Linked DNA regions of Rhinolophus ferrumequinum. Each later gene encodes a partner of the first gene's protein in a complex. Links are inferred from orthologs where the notes say so. Each region holds a gene or a part of one and is shown in the gene's direction. Other genes may lie near its edges.

The links. Proteins that work in one complex are often made in the same cells at the same time.
Region 2: GTF2A1 (region 1) and GTF2H5 share a complex: the UniProt entries of both Homo sapiens proteins name them as parts of the TBP-based Pol II pre-initiation complex. The link is inferred for Rhinolophus ferrumequinum from reciprocal best matches to the Homo sapiens genes GTF2A1 and GTF2H5.

The regions. Positions count from the first base shown.
Region 1 is NC_046289.1:18,546,978-18,550,724, forward strand, and holds the start of GTF2A1 (transcription initiation factor IIA subunit 1), read left to right. Parts: upstream 1-1,155; 5' UTR 1,156-1,581; coding exon 1,582-1,611; intron 1,612-3,747. UniProt on the Homo sapiens protein: TFIIA is a component of the transcription machinery of RNA polymerase II and plays an important role in transcriptional activation. TFIIA in a complex with TBP mediates transcriptional activity.
Region 2 is NC_046286.1:99,936,120-99,939,866, forward strand, and holds the start of GTF2H5 (general transcription factor IIH subunit 5), read left to right. Parts: upstream 1-987; 5' UTR 988-1,081; exon of another isoform or gene 1,082-1,163; intron 1,164-1,906; 5' UTR 1,907-1,945; coding exon 1,946-1,980; intron 1,981-3,747. UniProt on the Homo sapiens protein: Component of the general transcription and DNA repair factor IIH (TFIIH) core complex, which is involved in general and transcription-coupled nucleotide excision repair (NER) of damaged DNA and, when complexed to CAK, in RNA transcription by RNA polymerase II.

The DNA.
Region 1 (3,747 bases):
CAGCGGCATAGAACTTTTGGCATTTTGTTTTGCTTCGTCTTTTGAGGATAAACTCCCTCGTTCGTTCAGACTACAGTCTGTGTCTCGAAATTCCTAGGGACAAGAAAATTAGGTACTGTGAGTTCTGCCTTCTAAACAGAGCATTCTCTGTTCTGCGTGAAGTGTTGATATAAAGGCGGGATTTGCTTGGGCAAAGTAGGTCAAACACACTCCAACTCATGGATATTTACTGCCAGCTCTCGCAGCGAGAGTCCAGGTGAGTTGGTCGGTCAAGAGCAAGTATTTCAGACATTACAACACGTTGGCCATGTGGAGTCACAGAATGTTGGCAATATTTAAAGAAAACCGAAAAACAGGGAAAGTTACCCTGCTGTCACAATCCGGGGGTCGGTGTTTTGGTTTGTTTTCTTGGCATTCCCACCACGGCGACAAGTCATTTAAAAGGAGAGGTCGGACCTTTGAGGAATTTAAACCCAGAGACATTTAAGTTGTTTTGGTAGGGACAAAACAACTCAGCAGATTTCAGGAGTTATTAATTCTGGAATGTTAACCGTGGGCCCAAATCAGCTTTCGTCCCTTTTAGGAACATGACAATTTCGCGAGTGAAAGGCCCACCCTGGGCGACAGCCGCAGACGCCTTGAAGCGCTAAATCCCAAACAAACTCGAACCCCTGGGCGATGACTCCGCATTTAAAACTCTGCCCTCAGTCCGCGCGCGCCTGGGGCCGGAAGTGAGCCACGTGACCGGTCATACTCCGCGGCCACTCTTAATGAGGCAGCTGTCGCCGCCCCTTCCACATTTCCCAACTCTTCCAGCGGGACGGCGCAGAAACGCCTGACAGGAGGCGGTCCCAGCTAGCATTGGACTCGAGTATCACCAGAATTCACGCCTTTTCCAGGGATTTGCAGGCTCTTCATTCCAAAGGCGCTGCGGGAGACTTCCGCCTGGGTACCAACCACGTGATCACAGGAGATTGGGGGAGGCTGCGATCTGACTTCACTACTCCAGTCCCGGGACTCCGCCCGCCAACCTCCAGAGCGCGTGACGACGCGGCTCTCGCGGTGTCTCGCGCTCAGCCCCGCCCACCTCTGCCCCCGCCCTTTCCGTCCCTCCCTCCCCCTCCGCCCTGTCTCTCGGCGGCGGCGGCGGCGGTGGCGGCTCGCGCAGCTCGTTGGCTCGCTATATAAAGGGGAGAAGCGGGCGGACCGGACGGCTGGAGCTGCAGCCGGTGGCGGCAGCGGCGGCGCGGGGAGCGGAGACGTGGTGGTTTCCCTGCTTGGCACGGGGTGGGGAGCGGGCAACGCCCCCCGGACCCCCTAAGGGTCGTGGCTTTTTTTTTTTTTTTTAAGGGCGATTCTCGAGGTTTTTTAGCTCCGGGAGGACTGCCCCCCTCCTCCTCTCACCGCTCCCCTCTACTTCAGGATCCGATTTTGTTTCAAAAATTTTCCCCCAATCTTGCGGTGGCTTGGGTCACCCTCCGGTGTTTTTTTTTTCTGTTTTTTTTTGTTTTTCGTTTTTTGGTTTCGATTTCATCTTGTTTTCTCGGGGTTGCCCCCCTCTTATTTGTGTTGTGTGTGGAAATGGCGAACTCGGCAAATTCAAACACCGTGGTAAGGACGTGGTTCGGTGGCCGGCGGGGGCTTCGTTCAGGCGGCAGCAACGGCCGGACCGGGCGGGGGCGGGGACGGCGGCGACTCCCGGCCTCGACTCTTCTTAGCCGCCCGCGCGGCCGCCGCCGCCGCTTCCCGCCTCGGGCGGAGCGGGCCGGGGCGCCGGGCGCGGGGGGGGCGGGCATCGAGGGCTCAAGGCGGCGGGGAGGGCGGGGGCGCCGGCGGGGCCTGGGGCCGCCGCGGGGCGGTCGGGGCCGCGGAGGCCGTTGGGCCGTGGCGAACGCGCGGCCCCGGTTCCAGACCCCGGCCGCCGGGACGGAGGGAGGGGAGCCGCCGCTTGCTCCCGAAGTGGGTCCGGCCGCCCTGGCTGGAGGGCTCCCCGAGCAGCCTCAAAACAAAAACCGCCTGGGGAATTGGGCGAATCCCCAAAACCACCGTGATCCACTTTAATGCAGTGGAAGGCTCATGGCTACTTGGGGGTTACTTGGGGTGTTTCTGGCGATTGTGCTTAGGGAGCCTTCCCTGGGGCCATTTTATGTTTAAAAAAAGAGGACGAAGGTTGAAAAGCACTTATCTCGGTTCCTTCCGAATTGGTAAAATGGCGAAGGGGAAGCAAAACCCCCATCGTATCTTCAACTAGCAAAAGCACCAAAGCAAACAAAAAAAGCCTACAGTGGCCAAAGTGTCACCGCTTTGCCTTGAAATTTGCCTACTTCTTCCCGTTTGTCCCTTTTTGGTTACTTGCGATCACGTAGGTTTGCAAAAAGCAGTCACATAAATAACCTTTTCAGTCACCAACGCAATGTGATCACTAGTCCACCCCACTCTTATTTTTATTGTGACAATAAAACACGTTTTTGCCCGGTCCCAAATGCCGCAGACCAGCCCGCGGCCGCCCGACTCCGTACCGTTGGCGACTCGGGTCGATCCATCATGGCTGCGGCCGCTTACCCTGCTTTTCAGTCCCTGAGCCTTGTGGTCCTCCTCCCTTTGGCTGCCCTGTTTATATAGAGCCATTGCCGCTCTCTAATATAGACTCTGCCAGGATGGGAAGGTGCTTTTCAGGCCTACGTCACCGCCTCTCCATTTAAACACCAGATCCGGCTTTAAATAGTGAGAGCTGCTGAGAGCGGGGCTGGGAGGTGCGTGCTCCCTAGGCGAGAGGCAGGCGCGTGCAGAGCTCAGTTTATTTCTAGATCTTATACTGGAATTTCGCATCCAACCGAGGCTGCTTTCAGAGCCCCAAGTTTTTGTTTTGGTGCAGCATTTGGGATTTGCCGTCCTTGCTAGGGGGAAGTAGAATTGCTGTCCCTTTTTTTATACTTTATATTTATTTTTGTTTTTAAAGAGAATTTTAGTTCAAATGTGTGTTCTTGTATTAGAAAATGTGTGCATTATTGTCGGGAATTTAAAAAAATGCCTTCTATATTAACTGTTAGTCGCAGAGGACTTTTGATAGTATTTGTTCAAGTATTCAGGAAATAATGTTAGAAATATAGCTCCTAGTATTTCATTATGCTTTCCTATAATAAATATCAATGACACGAAGCTTTTCAAAGAAATTAATGCTTAAGTTTCAAGGTACGACCTTATGTCCACAGTACATTTATGTATAGAATTGTGAGGAATGAGAGGGCTTAGTGGATTTAAACAAAAATTAAAATTCTAAGTAGTGTTTTTATTGCATTGGGTATTAATATATGCAATATAGAAATTCAACTTTCAAATATTGCACCAATATAACATTTTTGAAAGGAATCTTCTAATTAAACATTAGATAATGCCACTGTGGTCCTTTAATTTACCAGTTTTTAAGTTTGGAAATACGTCCTCTTTTTTGAAAACCAGGGCAAACTTCCTGGTTTGTATTTCATAAAAGGCAAAAACTTCAGCTCAAATAAAGTTTAGCATTTTAAATAATAATTTGGAAATCGGTTATTTCAAAAAGTGTCTGTACCCACATACTTTTAAAAACATCAGCATTTTGAGGGCTTTTCAACTTAATTCCGCTAAATTATTCTTTAGGCGTATGGTTCACGAAGAAGACACATTTTCCTTCAATTATACTGCTTATGAATTCATTAAGTGGTCAAGTTGTGGATTAATTAAGGCACAGAAGCAAGATCTTAAAGCAAA
Region 2 (3,747 bases), on another chromosome or scaffold:
CTGAAAAAACAGAGTTCCCCAATATTCCCCAATAAAAATTTAAAAAATAAATGGTAATTACTACTTAAAAAAAAGATACTTGGGAAGACCTAGACTTAGGGGCAAATTAGAGGGAGAGCACGCACATGCAACAACATGGAAACCAACAGGAGGAAAAGATTTGAGGACTAGGAAAAGGGAAATAAATGGAAGAGCTGGGTTTGTAAATCATATGAACACAGGAAGTAAAAAGCAGCATGAGCTCAACTGGGGAAGCACAATTTAACCTAAGGAACAGAAACATGGCCATCCTACCTGCACTGGTAAAAATAACTAAGAGTGTGGGACTACAGACCAGAATTTGGAAAAGGAATTAATTTTAGAACCTTCTGGGGTTTCTCACGTTAAAATGACCGTTGCCGGGTTTAGAAAGCTATTAGCATTCAATCCATTCAACCTCCACTGTCTGAGCTAGAAGCTGAGTCTGGAAGGTTCCAATTTGAATGAGACATGTTTCGTCCTGCTTGGTATCTATCATTCCGCGACTACCGCGCCCGGGCTGAAGGTATCGGCACGTGCTCTTTGGGCCTCAGAAAAGAACCACAGAAGGACGACGACCAGAGAAGAGTAGGGCTGCGGAGGCTGGAGACAGGCCCTCACCATCCGCGGAGGGTCAGCGGGTCAGTCGGGGTCCGCGCGTCCTCGCGGGGGCGCCCCGGCCACTCCCCAGCCGCGCCCCGTCGCCGCCCTCCCAGCTCTCCTCTTTGCCCTGCTTGGCTGACGCTCTCGCCCGCCCCCACGAGCACGGCCTCCCCTTCCTACCTGCCAGCACGTGGACTTGGCCTGCTCCCAGCCGCTCACCGCGGACCTGGTCAACGGAGAGCCCACCTGCCTCCCCAGCGCCCGGCCCACGCCCTCCACCCGGCGGCGGGCGGCACGTGACCCCGCCCCCAGAGCGCCGCGACCGGGGCCCTCGGCCCCGTCTGCTCCCCGCCTCCCACCGGCGCGCTCCACCCACTAGAGCGACGCCGACGCCATGACGTAACTGGCGCAGGCGCAGTCTGTCAGCGACGCTGAGGAGCTGCTTGGTCCTTTCGTGGAGGTACGTAGAGTCGGCTCTGCCAGCGAGAGGTGAAAGTGGGGTGCATGGAAGAGAGGGGTCCCGAAAAAGAGAGGAGAGGGAGGTAAGACCCAGCAGACTGTCCTCCAGGTGCTGGGGTACAGGGCGGTGTCTCGCACCCTCTCAGGGCCCTTTTTGACGAGGCCGGACGGCTGTCCCGCAGTAATTGAACCGTGAATTTCCTTTGGGGAGGCATTGCCCCGCGCCCGTGTGTATATAAATTTAACGGTTAAGTTGGCGTGCACTGGGTGGGTTCCTTTCCTTCTAGTGAACATCCTTGGGGTACGTGATTTGTTTGGTAAAGTAACACAAATCTGGGAGACCTGGCTTGTTTTGTTTTGTTGTGGTTTTTTTTTTGGCCGGGAGCAACTGCTTAATCTGTTCGGAGGCTGTCTGTAAAACGAAACGATTGGACTCAATATATAATTTTTAAGGTCCCTTTCAGAGCTATCATTCTGTGATTCTTGCCTCCCAGGATCTTTTATCACATTCCTGATTGGGAAGAGAAATCTTTTGACTAATGTTTTAAAACTTATGCTCGGCACACAGGTGTAGTTAGACCGCTTGTTTTCATTAGGATTGACTGGGTAGAACTGGAAGTAAAATTTATGCATTGTTATTCCAATAGACTGATTTTAATTTTGTTAAAAGATCAGAATATCTATTTTCTTAATGTTTGCCCTATGTCTTTAATAGACTTAAATGTTTAAGCTTTATTTAACATTTTGCCTCATTTCATAGGTAAATCTCCAAAATGTATTGAAGTTGATGCTTTTGAATTTTATGTCACCTTATCCCTTTTACTAGCATTTTTAAGGTCATCTCCATCTTCTGACTGAAGAAAAGATGGTCAACGTTTTGAAAGGAGTGCTTATAGAATGGTTAGTATTTTTAATGCTTAATGAGTTTTTTAGAATTCTTTGTTTTAAGATCTGAATGAATCGAGTCTTTCAGCTTTCTTAACTTCATTTTTTCTTACTTATGTAAGAAGTGGGTCAGGTTTTGTTGCTAAGTTTCTTCCTGGTGCCAGATTTCAACCTCTCTGTTGAATTAATGTGACGGGCATTGTTTCCAACAAGTTTTGATCAGAGGCAGCATATTTGTTAGATTAACCCTCTTTAGAGAAACAGTGCTGGTGTTCTCATACCATCAAGGACTGACTAGAATTTTAGGGTCTGCCTAAGTCTTCACCATCACAAACGATGGCCTTTTAAAAAAGAGAAAAAAAAAACAAGAGACCCAGTTGAAGGTTGTTTAAACTGGTCACACATTTCAGAGAAACTAGAAACTTGAATGGGCAGAGTGGAGTTCCTCAAAGCAAGCTAATGTAGGGCTTAGATATCACGCCGTCTGAAAACCTGAACTGCTGGACCAGTCTTGCTGAGTCCCCACTTGCGTGCTTGACAGTAATTCTGGGAATTCTGCTCTGTGGACACTCCCATTGTCTAACAATACTGCGGTCTATGTTTCTGTGCCCCGAATATGAGCCGTTACATAGATAGTGGTGCTGTTTACTGTAATGGCAAGGCTAGGGGAGGAGCAAGACCAAAACCCTAGGATACTTCTGGCGTTTTACAGCAGCGCTGTCCAATAGAAATATAATGCAAGCCACATATGTAGTCTTAAACTTTCTAGTAGCCACATGGAAAAGTAAAATGTAACAGGTGAGAAGAATATATTTTATTTAACTGAATATATCCAAAAATATTTCAACAGGGATGAAGTCTTCATAATCCATACTAAGACTTCAAAACTGTACAATCTCTTTTCATATTAAAGCTTCAAAATCCAATGTGCATTTTATTTTTACAGAACATTTCATAGACTGTTCCCATTTCAGGTGCTCGGTAGTGACATGTGACTAGTGGGCTACCTTACGGACAGTGCAGATTTAGAGTTTGAGTAGAGGAGACACCAATAAAAGCGATTTAGAAGACAACAGCAAGTGAAGTAGGGAGGCTAAGAGAGGGAATGTCTCATGAAGGTGAGTGGGCGGTGTCAAGTGATGGTGACAGATGGAATAAGATGACACACTGGAGGTCACTGATCTTTTGAGAGCTGTTTACATTGAAAGGTGGGATATATACTTTGGAAAGGGAAAGGGAGGTGAGGAAGTGGAGACTGGAATTTTGTTGTGATGAGCAAAGGAATAGAGAAATGGGTTGGCAGCTAAAGGAGGATGTGATAAGGGACTCTGGTTCTTGTTATTTTTGTTGTTTTCATGGGAAAGACTAGAATGTATATTGAAAAGAATAAAGTGCTAGAGAGGAGAAGTATTGGGAAAACAAAGGGGGCAGAATCTAGATCTCGTAAGTTCTGAACACACTGTGCTGTTTTCTTTTGGAGAAGACTTCTAGGCTAATGTTTGTACTTAATTTTTCTTATTACTTTGTCATAATTAATGGAAACATTTCCTGTTTGGACTTTTAATGTTGTTATTATTATTATTATTATTATTATTATTATTATTATTATTATTATTTTAAACACAGAGGACCCACAGTGCCAGCTATCAGTATTTTCCCTTTTGTTTCTTCCAATTCTCCTAAATTTAATCGTAACCCCAGGATTTGATAAACTTTCACTTCTCTCATAGAGTTTTCCTATTTTTGTTTTTGTTGATGTTTAAAGTTTCATTTATCTGGAAT